Oryzias latipes: one gene and its partners. The protein of the gene in region 1 purifies or fractionates together with the protein of each later gene. This does not show direct contact. Links are inferred from orthologs where the notes say so. Each region holds a gene or a part of one and is shown in the gene's direction. Other genes may lie near its edges.

Region 1 (4,120 bases):
TTTTATAATGGAGTGTCATTTTCAACTTTTTTTTTTTTCTTGTTTTTCTTTCCCGCAGAGTTGGAGGAAGCTCTTCAGAGAAGTCTTGTGGAGTTCTAAGTGCTTTCTAAATGAAGTAGTTCCTGTTGTTCACCTGTCACGTTGACCTTTTTTACTCAAGGTCATTGTTTTCAGAAGTTATAAATAAAAGTCATGAATTATTTGAATTGATTTACTTCCTTTAGCAGCCAAAGTCAGCAGTTCTTGGGGCAGACAGTGGGTTTTAAAGCTAGTTAGAAGCTGAGGGTTTATAAAAAGTCAGACGTTCTAAACATTGAAGCTATGTGTCACGTGTTCACACACACACACACACACACACACACAGGATTGTGGTGACACAGCTAGATGCCTGGGCTGACCTCGTGACCGCAGACCAACCGCTCCTCCACCTCTCTGGTTTCACTACAGACGTGAGGATTCTCTTTACCGGCTGCTCAGACGTCAGAAATGAATGAGCAGAAATTGTATTTTTTCTACAGAAAAGTTTGTATGAAACATCATTACATGAGTTCAACTTAAAGAAAAAGGTTTTTTGTGTAAAAGTGTGAGTGAATAACAGGGACAGAACGGTTTTCCTAAAAAGTACTCTCTGTGAAAATATTTTTCTTTAATAAAGATATAATAACGGAGCATGACGTTTGGTCATTGAATGTTACATTTGATTATTTTGTTCGGAGAACAGAAAAAAAAAACAGTTTGGAGACCTGTTGGTTGGTAAAATAGATGGAATCTATCTTTGTGGCTTGAAGCAATAGAGATAATGGTAACAAGCACCTGTCACCTCATCAGCGCCCCCTAAAGGTGGTTTTGTTACATTGTGTCTTTGCTTTTTTCTTTTAACTAAAATGATGAAAAAGTGCCACTTGTACAAATTGATGAGAGTTGCAAATGTCATGTTTAACAAACCTGTATGAACTCTGCAAAAATATTATTCAAATCATGCAGAAAACAGTTATTGGACAATACTATTATTTTATATTTACTTGATGTATTCGTCTTTTAGTTTATTTTTATTTTCTAATCAATTTATGACAATTGTTTTTTTGCCTCCTAATTATATAAAAGTTCCAGAAAAAATAAGCTTTCTCTCCCCCTGTTCCCTTTTATCTCCCAGATATAAAATCTTGTGTAAAATAAAATCTGTTGTTTTATGGAAATTCAAATAAAGCATTTTAAAGCTAAAGCGCTCCTCACTCAGAGCCCCCTGTTGGAGCCCCCTGTCTGGGTTGGAGCCTCCTCTCTGGGTTCCTCGGGAAGTTTCTGTGAGGAGGAGGAAGAGGAGGAAGCTGAAGCCCATGTTAGGAAATGTTGTCCCAGGGGCGCTGCTGCCTGTAGCCTGAGGAATTACTGGTCAGGCGGAGAGCTTAAAGCGCCGCTCACTCTTTGGATTGACTGATCGGACTACAGAAACTCGGCACTGCAGCACTAATTATTATGGCTCAGGCGAAAATCCAGGCGAAGATGAACGAAGCGGTCTGCAGCAAGTTCAGCAGGACACTGTCCATGGCTGATCGCTCCGGAAGACTGCTGGAAACTCTGGATCAGCTGGAAATCAGGTACAATAACGGGCCTCGCCATGCGCGTCTTCTTTGGAGGTGCTCTCGTTCGTTTGACACTGTGGCGTAACTTTAACAACTGAACGTGATTGGAAGGAAAAAGAAAAGCTGTTTTTTTTTGACGGATGTTTGTTTTTGTCAGGGTGGAGGCTTTAAGAGAAACAGCATCCGCCCTGGAGCAGGAAAGAGAAGGCATCCTGGAAATGATTCAATCCATCCAGAACAGTCAAGAAATGCGTAACATCTGTGCGGGTGAGGCTGCTAATTCTCTCCCACAACTTACATAAGAGCACAAGTCATCCGCTGCTTAATACCAGTGAAGAGTGGCTTAACTTTCCAGTAATCTTAATTCCTGTTTTTTGCTACTTTGATCCTGTGGTGATAAAAGGAAAACTTTGCGTGATGGTCAAGAAACTGAAAAGAACAATGTGCTCCACCCAAAATGCATCACATGTCTCACCCATAGAGGTCCCATTTCACCTCTGTGTCTTTCTATTAAACCCTCTAAAAGGAACACACTATACTTCTGAGTCCAACATAGCAAGTTTACTACAAGATATAAACTTTTTTTCATGGTATAAGTAGAAAGAAAAATTCTGTTCTTTTCATGGTACCATATTATATTTACATATTCAACATAAGTCCACACATTTTCATGAATAGAAAGGAACAAAAAAAATGAAATTCTTGTTATATTTCTGCCCCTATATCAAATCTTAAAGACCCACTCAGGAAAATTGTGTTTTTGGTGTTTTTAACATGTTGTTGTGGTGTTTTTCTCAAAATGCAGGACATATAGAAAGAAAATTCAGCTCATATTTCCATTTCGGTGTATTTCTTTATTCAAATTGCAAAAGCAAAAATGCCATTTGAAAAAGCTTGTAGGTTTGACGTAGAAGCTAATACAGCAGACCACAAACGTCCTGCTCTTCTCTGCTCCATTCTGATGCATCCACTTGCGGACAAATAGATCCATGTAGGTCTTTTGTTTTCCTCATCCGAGTTGGCTTCCGGCTCAAAGCTGGACGGATGGATATCTCCATTCTTGCAGGCCATTTGAGTTGCATCAGTAATGTTACGTTGGGGTTATAAAGGGCTGTAAATTTGCAGGAGAGCGTTTAAACACATAGATGTCCGGAAGCAAGGGTGGGCTTACTCCACGCCTACGGCCCCACCTACAACTTAGAGGCAGATTTCTAATGAATTCCTGCCGCTCTGCAGAAATTATGTCCTAGAAAATGACACAGGATTTTTTTATTTGGGCTAAAAATGGTATAACTATAATTACAAAACCACTCGGAACACTTTGGAAATAGATCAAAAGACGATTTATTAACATAAAATACATCAAAATAAATGAAATGAGTCAAAAACAGGTTAATAATAATATTTTTTATGACAAATTAAAGCTCTAATTTCCTTTTCTTCTGCAGGAGAAAGGGAAGAGTTGAGCTTAACTGCGAACCGTCTGATGGGCCGGACTCTGACGGTGGAGATCTCCGTTGGCACCATTAGAAACCCCCAGCAGGAGGAGGCCCTGCGGAAAGCCACATCCATGATTGACGAAATCGTAAAAAAGTTGCTGGTCGACATGGAAGGCGGTCGGCAGCAGCTGATGGCGCTGCACGCCGCCTGCGTGACCGAAGCACCGCCTGTCCCCATCGATCAGAAGTTCCAGGTTGTGGTGATCAGCTGCTCTTTGGAGGACCAGAAGAAGATCAAACAGAGGCTGGAGACGCTGGTGAGGAATGTGGAAAACGCTGAAAAGAACATCAAAATTATGGATCATCAAAAACTGGAGAGTGCAAAAACCAACTGCAGTAGTTAATAATCATCACCAAAGCATGAAGGGTGTTTTTGAATTCCACTTTACCTCACAAAGGAGAGCTGCACAAGCATGACTCTTAGGGATCCATGCATTGTAACCAACCCTGAAAAGTACACTGGTACACATTTTTTTTGTAAAAAGGTCAATTTTTACTTTAAATTTTACTACACCGACATAGCTAAAGGGCACACAGTTCACAATGTATGTTCATCAATAAGCCCAAGAAAGAACAAATACAGATGCATCACAGATTGAAGTTCAACCTTTTGAAGACAATATATAATTTTGAGCACATTTTGCAGCAATTCAGTGCTCTGACATATGAGGTGATTGACAATGCAACAACCAGTATTTTACCAATACTGTGATCGTTAACGTTGAAAATAAAATTACAAACATGTCAAATGAAACCACCTGACAGGAAGTTCGTGGAATTTATCTCAGTTGTAGAAAGACTTTTTATTTGTCTTACAGTTTTAGTTGAAAGGATTTTTGACACAAACTCTGTACGCCTTCATCTTCTGCTGTTTTTTTTTTTGTTACATTTTTATGAAACACAAAGAAAGAAAGTCAATAAAAACTGTGAGAAGCCTCTGAATATGCAGTTTCTTGTTTTCACAAATGGGGAATCCTCCTTTATTTTGTCATTTGGTTTGATAAGAACCTAAAAGCACATGTACAGTTCATAAAATTGCAC
Region 2 (4,090 bases), on another chromosome or scaffold:
CTACTTAATAACAGATTACATTAAAGATTTGACTCACATTTAAAAAAACGAGTAGCCCGATGATGCCATCTTCTGGCCAATACACTAGATTTCCTGTGCTGATCTTTTACAAGTGCAATGAGAAACCACCCAGTTGTCTTTTTCTGTATCTTGGTGTGTAAAATTGGTAGTTCAACTGCAAAAAATGCAAATATTTCTGATCATATTTTTTAAAATAACTCCTCTTTACACATTTCAGATTTGTATAAACGTCTCAAACAACCTCAGGTAAACCCATCTTTCCATTTCTTGCTCTCATATTTTTGCTTATTCAGATTTAAATGAGTGATTGTAAAGATGCATAAAAATAACAGGAAATATTTAGGTGTGGCTTCATTTCATTTTCAAACCATATTTGAGAAAAAAATACTTTTCTGAATGTTAAAAAATATATACGTTTTTTTTTTTCAATTACATTTTTATGCTTACAGCAGCATAAAAGCATAAAAAACGCAGTCTGCCCTGGACAGACTGGCGACCTGTCCAGGGCATCCCCTGCCTACGCCAAAGTAGCCGAGATAGGCTCCGGCAGCCCCGTGACCCCGAAAGGGACAAAGCGATACAGAAAAAAAATGAATTTTTATGCTTCTCTTAACATAAGCAAAGTCTCATGTTAAAATTTGGCATCAAGCTAATATAAAAAGTGAAAAATGAGTAAAGACATAAAAAGCACCAAATCAAATAGAACAGATTTATCATCTTCAATGCTTTTGGATTAGTGCAATAACAGAAGTTTAAGGAAGACAAAATAATAATAATAAATTATTTCCATTAATATCAATTATTTTACTAATAATTTCGAATCAGATATAAACAAACACTTTTATTTGATAGGGTGTTGTTATAGTATTTTGTCTAACGTAATGTAAGGTCAGTACCTATTTTCTATACAACTAACCATCACTCAGAGATAAGGTGTGGTTACTTGTATCAGTAGTCAGCTATGTTAGTTCTAACCACTAGCACTGATACCAGGGTCTTCTCACATATAGAAGGCCCCTGTTTCACGTTGTTTGCATGCTCTTCTCACAGCTCCAATGACCCTCTATGATTAATTTAGGATTAAAGATAAAGGGCTGGCATTCTATAAAGCCAAATTATGAGAGCAGTCCCAATACAGATGAGGGTTTGTTCCCACAGTACTTTTACAGAAATGAGCACAGAAACTTTACATTGTTATGATACTTGAAGATAACCTCTGCGCAAACTCCCATCAGGATTCGTGTGCTCTCGGCTTCCGTTGTTAGAGCGTAAAGCGTTTGACGTCAGCACCACAACATTCCGTCTTGACAGTTCGTACGGGTGGTAAAAATAATCCGTAACGATTTTATATCAAACTAAATTAAATCTGTTTGAGCTGAATGTAAAATTTCTGATTAAAGGTAAGGGTGGGTACTATGTAAAACTTTATTTAAGCCTCCAACAAACTGAAACGGACGTGAAGCAACTGTAATGCAAAAAGGCTAAGCTAGCACTAGCTAGTTTATGTTTTTTGAAGAAACCGAGCTGCGTTGTGGTAAATATTGAAATCCTTGAACAAGTAGTTATGGTTTTACTATCCTCTGCTTCAATTCACCAGAATCTACCCTAAATTAAATGTCAATAAAATTGATTAGAGACACAAAAGCTGTACTATGTCCCCAAACAAAATAATTTCAAGATAAAAGCTTAGCTAATTTTAGCATAGCATCGATTCTCCTCCTCTGTTTGTTTGTAAGTTAGCAATCTTATTTTTGTGTTTCTTGTCGTGTAACAATAATATACAATTTTTCGTTAACTTAAATATATTATCTTGTATCTGGTGTTTTTACTCGAAACCTGAGTGGATGTGTAAATTAATGGTTCTGGATTTTTTTTAAATAGCTGTGCTCGCTGATGGCCATCGATTTCCGAATGTGAATAGTTAATTCGCCGGCAGTCTAGCTGTGATTTTCAGCGGCGTGCACTGTCAGCAAACCCGAATGAATGCATTCTGAGCGGCACCAAGCAGCAGCGTTGCGCCGAGAGATCGTTGAAGAAGCAGCGCATTGCAGGTGCATCGCTAACTCAGCACGCGCCTGTGTTTTAGTGTGTGAGATCCAAGCCGGACGGGACGTTCTGAAAACCTGTTGTCTAGCCAGCCGAAGAGACGGGGAACAGGATAGGGAAACAGGGCGAAGCGGGCCCCGCGGAGCCGGTGGAGAAGATGGCCGGCAGCCCGGAGAAGAGTTCCACCGCGCAGGAGTTCAAGGAGCAGGGGAACCGGCTTTTCCTCTGCCGCAAGTACCAGGATGCTGCCTCTTGCTATAGTAAAGCTATTGTAAGCGTCTGGGATTTCTCATCCAAACACTAATGGCGAAGACTAAACAGTTTGCGCGTAAATACTCTTTATTTTCCCCATTGTGTCTTCCAGAACCGCAATCCATCAGTGGCAGTATACTACACCAACAGGGCCCTCTGCCACGTGAAGCTGCAGCAGTATGACAAGGCTCTGACAGATTGTAAGCATGCACTGGAGCTGGATAGTCAGTCTGTTAAAGCCCACTTCTTCCTGGGCCAGTGTCACCTGGAGCTGGAGAACTACGATGAGGCAATCGGCAATTTGCAAAAAGGTCAGAAACTAGTTTGATTTTTCTCTCCTAGCCGTTCGTGTCGGGTTTTCTTAATCATAACACCAGAACAAAGGATCACAACCTTTAGGTGTTGAAGATGGATCAGTTCACTTGTGCTTTTATTGTGGGATTCTAACAAAAAAGAATTTTCTGTGGGGATGAGAAAATCAAACTTGCACATGTTCTTAAAGGCACCAGCAGTTACAAATCAATGCATTTACCTTAAAACCAGAGCATTTCATCAACTTTAGGTACATTAAGAAGAAAATGACAAAATAAAAAGTATCAAAAACTGTAACGGATTATTTTTGCAAAGGTTTCCTGAACCTTCAAATGTATCAGACAAATGTAAGTCCATATGCAATCATGGTAGTTAATCTGTCCAAGCATATTAACAGAAAATAGAGTGGAAAGAAAAAAGACTTTCAACAGAGAAAATCCATGCAAAATTCTGATTTATTTCACCATCATCAGAGTTAGACGTTTTTTTTTGTTTTTTGTTTTTTACCTGGGCTCATTAGAAAAGAACCAGACAGATGCTTAGTGGTCCAAAAGTAAAGGTTGTATTTCATTTGGAGACGCACAGACCCGATGTTGCCTGAAGGGTCTTGTGAAGCTTCCACAGTCAGGGATGATGTAGGTCCATGTTTTTTTGAAGTCTACACAAAGTTCTGTAGCACTTCATGCTGCCTTTTGGTGTTGAGCTCATTGGAGCTGCAGATTCAATTTTCCTGCAGGACATGGGGCCCGCCCACTCTGCCAAAAGAACCAAAAGCTGGTTCAATTAATAGTATTACTGTGGCTGATAGCACATTCCCCTGACCTGAACCCTATTATGAATCTATTGTCTCTTGTTTGGAGGAAGATGAGACACCAGACTCAATAATGCAGATAATGTGAAGGCAGCACATAGAAACCTCCATTACTTCTACATAGAGCCACACGCTTCATATCCTCAGTGCATTGATGCAGTGATTCACATAGAGGAGCCCTAACCAAGCTAAGTGATAGAAATGAAGGCATTTGAACATTTAGGTTGTAAACATCTTTTTCTATTATTTTGATGATAAAAGCTAATATTCTGACACATTCTATTATTTAGATTAATTATCTTCAACGTTACAATAAATCAATGCTCGACATATTTCAATCAATTATATGCCGTTTACCATTTAATTTGTGTGTATAAATGTATGTTTGTGTGTGTGTGTGTGTGTGCGTGCGTGCTTGGGTTTTGATCATATTGTGATTTATTTGTCTTGCTGCAGTTTTGGGTTTGGATTCAGCACAGATAACTTTTGTAGTGATTAAGAGCAGAATTACATGTTTATTGTCTCACTACGCTGTTACACACGCCTGCAAACATACAATTCTTACATTGGTCTTGTTTGTCTCTGTGCCGTGTCAAGTGTTAAAAAATGGGCAGATGATCTCTGTCTAAAGTGAATCCTATTGTTTGC
Region 3 (4,209 bases), about 5.3 Mb from region 1:
ATTTCTGCAGGATAAAAGTATACGCTATGATTAGCTTAGGATAACAGCATTAATCGAGGTGTACTTTGTAATATTTTGATACACGTTTATCCTACTGCACTCGAATGCATCTCCGTTACGGTAAAGATGTATTGACAATAAGAATAATGCATTATGGGATATGAACGAAGCACGAAGCCTTCTGTTAAAAGCGATTGCTACCAGTTATGTTAATAAAAGACGTTAACACAGCACGTTCATACTGAAGAGAGTTATACCCTGCAACTCTAAAACATTACATACTGTGACGACCCAGAGTTTGGACAGAGCTGCAGGTGGCCGGCGCCCCCCTCTTTCTGCAAGATGCTAGACCACAGTGTGTGTCAATCAGCGGTGGGCTGATGACTGGTGGGAGAGAGGGGGCGGGGTCTACCTGTGGGTGTGTGTGCGTGTGCGTTCGGTGAACGTTGTCGCTGGAGTTAGAAGAAGCTCGCTGTGCCTGTTGGTTCGTGCTGTAACCGTTCTGAGATACAGAAACATTAATAAAGAGCTGTTTGACAACCGCCCGCCTAAGGAGCTTCCTTGCAGCTACTACAATACTTAAGTTAACGAGGTCTTAGTTGGTCTCACGTCTACGCAGTACACGGCAGGCTCATTCAGTAACAAAAAAATAAATTAAATCGATATGAAACTCACGTAAACTATGTTTTTCATAAGTATAACTTACTTTGTCATTCCTCATGGTGGAAATTCTGTCCTCTGACACATTTCTATCCCTTAAAAAGGAATAAAGAGGCTCCCGCTGATTCTCCATCTTTTCCCACAGGTCATCAAGACGAGAATGAAATGTCCCGCGAGAAGATGACGTTTTACTGTAAACAACTATGTCGTTATTACGAGAAAGTATGTCGTTATAACGAGATACTTTCTCGTTATTACGAGAAGCTGTTCCAAAAAATATTTTTCGCAGTGGCAGCTCAGAGCTTCCGTAATTTTGGAATAAAGTATTCCAAAATACATTACAAAATCATATATTTAGGCATTTGTAAGTTTTTTAAATGTTTTATACGAATACAAAATTTATTTTAAAATGTTTGTAATTTATCATAACAGTGTAAATGCCAAAATAATAATAATAATAATAATAATAATAATAATAATAATAAAAATAATAATGATGACCACGCAACAATTACATGGGGTATAATCATTAAAAGATAATCGACCAACATAGACTGCAAATACTTCCGGTTCAAGATTTTTGTATTTTAGATTTTTAACAGAATTTATTTTTAAATGCATCATTTTACGTTCTAAAATATTTTTGTGAACTTACTTAAAAAAAATTCAAAACATGTTCCACTTCAAAACGTAAAAATACAATCAATGTTGCATTTGGCATTCCTCCAACCGGAAGTCGTTGTTTGTTGACTGCTAAGAAGCGAGTTGGATACAGAAGAGAGGCAAAACAGTGTAAGTTGGGGTTCTGTTGAGCGAAAATAGTGGGAGAAGTTTGAAAGTATAAATTATTATTAATGTGGAGGATATAAAACTAACCATGTGTTTTAGTTGATGTGATTTGAGCTGAATCGTTTTTCTACCTTTGCTAGTAGTGCGGTTTATTTTAGCCTCGCAAGCTCTGGAACTATCTAGAAAGAACCCTGACTTTCTGTTACTACAGATTCGTGCGACAGGTCAGGAGGCAGATCATCGAGTCGGAAGAACGATACGTCATTATCTTAACACCAATTACATATAATAATGTAGCTGTTCGACGAATTATTTCGCTAATTTAAGCGGGAATAATAAAGTGTTGTAGAAAAAAAAATGAGCTCAACAGCTGGCGATGACAGAAATCCTGGGATCCTCCTGGATAATGATAAAGACATTGGAAGTCCTGCCTGCTCAGAGGATTGCAGCAAACGGGTAAGCAACATAAAAGAATGAGCTATATAATTGTTTATATTAATATGTTGTGTTTTTATGTCTTGTTTATACACTAACAAGCAATCCTTGTTTCTATTAGGCTTATTTATGCAGTTATTAGACCTTATTACATAGTCATAGGAAAAATAAACTAAGATTTGTACTTCAAATGTCTGCCTCTCCTGTTTAATTAGAACATGAATGTTTTTGTCTCCTGCTTCACCAGGATCCCACTATGTATTTGGGAAATGGAGAAGTGAAGAGTAGTGCTGTGGTCAAGTACTCTGCTGCCCCCCCCAGCACTTATGCCCTCCCTGAGGAGAAGACGGACCTGAAGCTGCCACCTGCCAACTGGCTGAGGGAAAACCCCCAGCTTGGCAGCGCTGTTTTAGGGTCAAGCAGCAAAAGCAAGCCCTTTTCCAGGTTCCTCATCTATTTCTTAAAGATCCAGTCCCTGAATGATGACATATGACCTTAAGATTTTTGGATTTAGAGTACATTGGGAGGTCCAAATTACATTTTAAAACGTTTTATGTATTTGTTTGAACCTGAAAATCTATTTCTTTTTTTTTCTTTTTAATAACAATTAACCAATTTAAACACATATTGATGTATCACATTTCTTTGTTTTCATTTTAGTTTTGGAATTGCCTATGACTTCATTGATTGTATTGGGAATGGTGTTGATGTGGTATCAGACTCTGAGGTTTGTGGAGAGTTTTCCTTTTTTTTACCTCTCTGACATTTGAAGACATGGCAGACTTTAATGATGGGCTCTATCATCCTCAGAACATCAAGAAACTCTTGAAGATTCCTTACAGCAAGTCCCACGTTAGCATGGCTGTTCACCGGGTTGGAAGGACGTTGCTTGTAGACGAGCTGGACATTCAGGAGCTTTTTAGAAGATCCTCTCAGGTAGATTTGAGGGTGGATCCCTTTTCTACATTCTTCCATTTATATTTTATTTTTGACAGTAATGTGTTTTTTTTTAATGCAATGTTTAGACAGGAGACTGGACATGGCTTAAAGATTTTTACCAGCGTCTAAATGATCAGAAATGGCAGCGGAAGAAAAAGAGTAAAGAGCACTGGTATCAGAAAGCCATCCTGTCAAAGTTTCTCTACTACAGGTAAGTTTTTGTTTAGGATAGTGTTAGATATAATTTGGTGCAATGTTCTACTTAAGGGCGTGTTTCTTGTTACATAATCTGTCCAAAAATCACATGTTTTTCTTTGTTTCTGCAGCATAAATGGTGATGGGGCTGCAGAGCCTGTGTTAGACAACATGAATGAGGGGGATGATGACAAAAATGCTGAAGAGTGCAGCTCCTCGTGGCCTGCAACCTTTACCAGCCCATCAGATGCTCAAGAATCAGAAATTCCTGAACAGGTAGCTTTACTAGTGAGCTCAATAAGTATGGTCGGGTCAAAAAGCTGTTTTCAGACAGTGAGAATTTTTGTGGCGGGCAAGAATTTTTTTTTTTTTTTTTTTTAGTTTGTTTTCAGTTCAATTACATAATGCCCAAAAATATAATGAACACACTGATGCCTTTTGATACTCAGGAAGGTGTTTCTGCGGACAGTAAATTTGCTCTGGGCCAGGTGACATCAGTATTAAAAGAGCAAAACCTCCCTGCTCTCTTCAATGAAGGCGAGAACAGCCAGGTAACAAAGTTCTATTCAAATGTCTGGAATTTCACCACAAACAAGAGCTGGATATTGTTTTTATTTTCAAAGATTATTCAATGTGTTTATAATTTCGAAATAAAAAGGAAAGTTTAAGAAATATTTAACCGTTATTTGCATTCATTTAGCTTTGATCGACTCAGGATATTAAATGACTACTCCGGCCACAAGGTGGCAGTATTCCTTATCATTATGACTAGGTGCATATAAAATACTATGAAGAGTATAATAATAGAACAACACAGCGTCACCTAAGAGTGAAGAGATATAAGAAGCACCACTGAGGGTTGCAAAGGATATGAGGTGAAAACACATTTGTGAGGTTTTTTGTTTATTTAAGCTTTGAATTTTATAAAGATCAGCACTATCTGATATACTTATGTTTAAACACTTTTCATACTGGATTTGATGTATTGTTCGCGTATTTTTATCAAATGAATTGATTGGAAAAAAGTACAAGACTGTGTTTTATGGAAAAATGGGGGGAAGATTGTTGAAAAATTAAACAAAGATTGTGATATTGATTACTGTTAAATTCTTTCTGTACAAGTTTTGACGACTTGCATTCTTTGCAGGGTTTAAGGAATGACTTTGTGCGAAACATCATGTGGACCTTTGA
Region 4 (4,222 bases), on another chromosome or scaffold:
AAAGTGTAAATCAACCCCATTGTTTCCTGATCGCATTTGTTTATAATTTCAAGTTATACCAAAGAGAACAAAATCCTGATAAATATGGGATCCAAAATGAAGAGGAACAAACTTAATGAAATCAAGAGACAACATTCGCTGGTGGGAAATAAAAATAAGGCAAAGAATTTCATTGATTTTGAGGATTCGTGTCTCTGCACGACAGCAGTGCAAACTGCTAGATATCTTAGAAAAACCTTATTGACAGATCACAGGCTTTAATATACATTTAGGCTTTAAGATTGACAGAAAAAGGATTTAGACTCGCAACATCTGCATGAAAGCAGGATATGAAATCACTTATCCATGAGTGGACTTAATAAGGTGGCTACCTGTTTTCTATTAGATCCTAAGGGATTTCCTTCTGTTTCAGCAAAAGTTCTCTGGCAGTCTGAGTCTCTTCCTGAATATGAATGATACTTTTTATTAAATATGAAAACAATCCAAAGGAAATGGAGGAAGTTTCCATCCACCAAAAAAAAATCCTCTTTTGAAGTAACAAAATATGTATCTGAAGTATCCTTATGTAATTTATAAAAACATTTATGCATTTTTTTTATTCAAGCATATCATTCTTTTATTCTGTCATCCTTGTTTTTTTATAAAATTATTATTTTTCTATTGTTGTTTTTTGTGTAATTTAAATGTTGCTTTAACTTCTTAACTTTACCTTTGACTCCCGTGTTTCTTCATTGGGAACCTGGCCTGCTGAGTCCAGGGCAGGGATCTGCAACCTGAGGCTATGGAGCCACATGTCCATCCATTGTGGCTCTAAGGTTTAAAAAAAAAAAGGGAATGATTTGAAGAAATTATAAATGTGAAGTTTGGAACAAAATAATAATAAGAGTTGTAGTGTACTGTCTGAGTGTTTTTTGTTTTGTTTTTTTCAAATAAGCCTTAAAGCTCTTTTTCTGATCCTCTGCGCCACAACACTGTGTAGTTGCTGTTCAGAGACAAAGTTCTTATAGTTTATAAGTTATGATGCAGCCAGAAGATCTTATTTGGTACAGGGTGTAATTTATTTTTAAAGGAATTTGGATAAGCGGCCGTCAGAAGTAAAGCAAGTCCAAATTTGTATGCATAGAAAATATAAAGGCTGTGTTATTTCAATTATTTTAAATATTTAATAACTTTATTTTATAGATGAATAGATGATTGGCCAATACAACATATAGGGTTTTTTAATAATTAGAAAAAAATGTGGGAAGCACAAGTGTATGTATAAAGTTTCGTGTTTTTTTCATTGGGTGGGTGAAAGCCTGTTTTTTGTGTGCATTGGCTTTTATTATGTAATTAACTTAACAAGTTAACATAACAAATAAAATGTTGTAAAACGAGTATGTACTTTTATTTTATTTTGTTTTTATCGAACTGGACATGGTTTGATATGTATTAGAGCTTAGAATTGTCAAACCTGGCAACCTTCTTCTCTTTTTCGCTTACGGCCTGTTCTTGCGCATGCTCACTTCATAGTTCAGGAAGAAAGGAAAATGTCTCTGACGAGGTAAGTCTCTAAGTGAGGCCTTTTGGCGAATAAGGCACAAAATGCGATCGGAGTTTCTGTCTGTGTTTGTTATACATTTATTTGGTTTAATATTAAACGTTAAATATTTAGTTAAACTTTAAACGTTTCGCTCTTTTCTGTGTTTATGATGTTAGCTAATGCTAGCTAGTGCTAACTAGTGAGACGGGGTTAGCATTAGCTTGTACCCTCAAACGACCGTTTCTGAAGTTAGCTTGTTTGTTTAATCTATTACTTAAACACATGTATTTGATATCGTGTTAAATAAACCTCTTTACCTGCATTAACGTTTCAGGTTTGCAGTTTTTGTTCCTGCTACTTTGACGTCGTTTCACGCTGATCCGCGTTTACAGCGACTTGCTAAGTTGTCTTTAAACTGCATTATGTGGACCTGTTTTGCACAGCTATTTACCGGCACCGACCCAGCTGTCTCAGGACCAGCTGGAAGCAGAAGAGCGGATTCGGACCCAGAAATCCTATTCCACTGCGCTGGTTGCGTCCCGTAAAGAACCCCCTCCTTACGGACACAGAAAAGGCTGGGTTCCGCGTGCATTTGAGGTGCACTTCAATGGATTACACATTGGTTCACTGCCTAGTTTCGCATTTCTACAAAACATTCTGGGTGTTCCTAGGACTTCGGAGATGGCGGGGCTTTTCCAGAGATTCACGTGGCCCAGTTTCCTCTGGAGATGGGCAGGAAGAAGAAGACCTCTAACGCCCTGGCAGTTCAAGTGGACGCAGAAGGGAAAATCAAATATGATGCCATTGCCAGACAAGGACAGGCTAAGGATAAGGTACTTGAGCTTTTCCTCTTTCTGGCAGTCAGTGAGGAGCTTTAAAACCCTATTCTTGCTCTTAGTGTCCACAAATACATGAGAGGTTCTGACTTCTTGGTTCTATTCCTATCAGACACGGCTGTGTTTTATTTGTATTTTTTCACATAAAAAAGAACCAACAAGTCAGTTAATAATACAAGACACGATGAACTTTATCAAACTAACATGAGAGGTTCATTATATGACTTGACAGATTCTAAATTGACCTCTAAAAGTCCAGCTGAAGAACCGATGTTCTGGATGACAGAATCTCCACAGAAATGTGGGACCTAATCTTAACTTTGGTAATACAGCTTGGTTTGGTTGTCATTTAAAAAAAATGCACACTATAGTGTTTTGTTTTTTGTAAAAACCATGTTTGATCCTTACATTTCTATTGGTGTTCATACACGACACTCCAGACGCATGTGGGAGGAGCTACCGCCAAACGGTTTTAGCCTCATTGCTGCAGACAGGGATGATGTTGAGATATCACGTTTTTCTACTTTGAAGAGCTCTACAAAAATGTCGATAGGCACGTCTCCATGTCTTGATCAATGAGATCATCCAGAGACTCCCACATCTGCTCCTGAAAGGGAAACCCAGTTTGACGACTTTCTGTTCTGCATTCAGGACCTTTTTTTGTGTGTCTTGATCCACTTATAACATCTTCAACGCATCCCGGTCCGAAGAGGAGTCCCTGATTGGTTGACGCGGCGCATCTTGTTTGCCGAAGTTCATATTTTTGAACTCTTGACGCACCGCAACAGCCAAAAAAGCGCGCGGCTGCCAGACTGGTGTGCAGCTCCAAAATCAAATCTGATTGCTTCTTTACGTTAAGCTAACATTAAAACTGGACACTCCTAATGCGCAAATGGCATTTAGTGTAAACGCAGCTTTACACAATCTATCCTATTCTATGAGTCTGCATGTTTTGCCATATTGGTAAATTTTGAGTGAGATTATTTCTATAATTTTCTTCTTGATTTTTGTAGGTGATTTACAGCAAGTACACTGATCTGCTCCCAAAAGAAGTTCTTAATGAAGACGCTTCAGGCCTTCAGAAGCCGGATGAGGAGGCTGTAGAAGAGGTAATTTGCTGCTCGGGCTCGTGCAGACATTCAGGATTCATTCATCCGATTTGGTGAAATTGTCTTTCAGCGTGCCCTTACTTATTGTTTTTAATTACTGTAAGCATGTGTAGTTTCTCATGGTTGGGGATGGATGCTCTTTGCAGTTGACTGAGAAGACTCGGGCCGCTCTACAAAAGCAGGTGTCGCAAAAGATTGCTGCAGCCATGCCTGTCCGGGCCGCCGACAAACTCGCTCCTGCACAATATATCAGGTAGCAATTTACCTGAATCATAAACAGTACTTCTATTTTAGATCGAGGACTTCTTTGTTGTTCCATCAGATCCTCTTGGATTTTGCAATCACACCAGTTCACATGAATTCAACCAATTCTTGCGACGTTTTTGCCCAATTACTTTTGCCAGCTGCTCTTATTTTAAACACTTTCTCCACCAATCAAGCGTAGAGGCTGAAGCATAAACATCTCTTGTCTAATCGAACATGCTTACTTCTGGAACTATATCAAACAACAAAAGGAAGTATTGAACAGTCGGTCTATCACAACATTTTGCAAATATTGAAGCTGGAAGTTTCCTTCAACGTTGCGTTGAAGCACCAGCGAGTCGATGATTGACGAGAACCTTTCCACCTGACGTTTGCAGAAAACGACTGAAAGTTGTGTAGAGAGTATATGGAGATGTTGATTTACCCTTCATGGGGTTAAATAAAATCCCCTTCAATAAACAACTTTTCAAATATTTCTCCTCCTACAGCTT

Evidence for each region.
Region 2: the proteins of bag2 (region 1) and stub1 purify together in Homo sapiens (affinity purification with mass spectrometry; 7 studies listed by BioGRID and IntAct, with this or other methods). This does not show direct contact. The link is inferred for Oryzias latipes from reciprocal best matches to the Homo sapiens genes BAG2 and STUB1.
Region 3: the proteins of bag2 (region 1) and edrf1 purify together in Homo sapiens (affinity purification with mass spectrometry; 3 studies listed by BioGRID and IntAct, with this or other methods). This does not show direct contact. The link is inferred for Oryzias latipes from reciprocal best matches to the Homo sapiens genes BAG2 and EDRF1.
Region 4: the proteins of bag2 (region 1) and snw1 purify together in Homo sapiens (affinity purification with mass spectrometry; 3 studies listed by BioGRID and IntAct, with this or other methods). This does not show direct contact. The link is inferred for Oryzias latipes from reciprocal best matches to the Homo sapiens genes BAG2 and SNW1.

Annotation. Positions count from the first base shown.
Region 1 is NC_019873.2:24,430,599-24,434,718, forward strand, and holds bag2 (BAG family molecular chaperone regulator 2), read left to right. Parts: upstream 1-1,319; 5' UTR 1,320-1,473; coding exon 1,474-1,595; intron 1,596-1,737; coding exon 1,738-1,847; intron 1,848-3,028; coding exon 3,029-3,423; 3' UTR 3,424-4,017; downstream 4,018-4,120. Other genes in the region: E3 SUMO-protein ligase ZNF451, read left to right, coding at 59-99. UniProt on the Homo sapiens protein: Co-chaperone for HSP70 and HSC70 chaperone proteins. Acts as a nucleotide-exchange factor (NEF) promoting the release of ADP from the HSP70 and HSC70 proteins thereby triggering client/substrate protein release.
Region 2 is NC_019877.2:8,954,556-8,958,645, reverse strand, and holds the start of stub1 (E3 ubiquitin-protein ligase CHIP), read left to right. Parts: upstream 1-1,284; 5' UTR 1,285-1,555; intron 1,556-2,107; 5' UTR 2,108-2,224; coding exon 2,225-2,338; intron 2,339-2,431; coding exon 2,432-2,630; intron 2,631-4,090. UniProt on the Homo sapiens protein: E3 ubiquitin-protein ligase which targets misfolded chaperone substrates towards proteasomal degradation.
Region 3 is NC_019873.2:19,100,864-19,105,072, forward strand, and holds the start of edrf1 (erythroid differentiation-related factor 1), read left to right. Parts: upstream 1-1,403; 5' UTR 1,404-1,806; coding exon 1,807-1,905; intron 1,906-2,131; coding exon 2,132-2,328; intron 2,329-2,544; coding exon 2,545-2,611; intron 2,612-2,694; coding exon 2,695-2,820; intron 2,821-2,909; coding exon 2,910-3,034; intron 3,035-3,149; coding exon 3,150-3,294; intron 3,295-3,467; coding exon 3,468-3,569; intron 3,570-4,165; coding exon 4,166-4,209. UniProt on the Homo sapiens protein: Transcription factor involved in erythroid differentiation. Involved in transcriptional activation of the globin gene.
Region 4 is NC_019882.2:3,678,802-3,683,023, reverse strand, and holds the start of snw1 (SNW domain-containing protein 1), read left to right. Parts: upstream 1-1,416; 5' UTR 1,417-1,529; coding exon 1,530-1,543; intron 1,544-1,965; coding exon 1,966-2,119; intron 2,120-2,193; coding exon 2,194-2,355; intron 2,356-3,371; coding exon 3,372-3,467; intron 3,468-3,613; coding exon 3,614-3,720; intron 3,721-4,222. UniProt on the Homo sapiens protein: Involved in pre-mRNA splicing as component of the spliceosome. As a component of the minor spliceosome, involved in the splicing of U12-type introns in pre-mRNAs.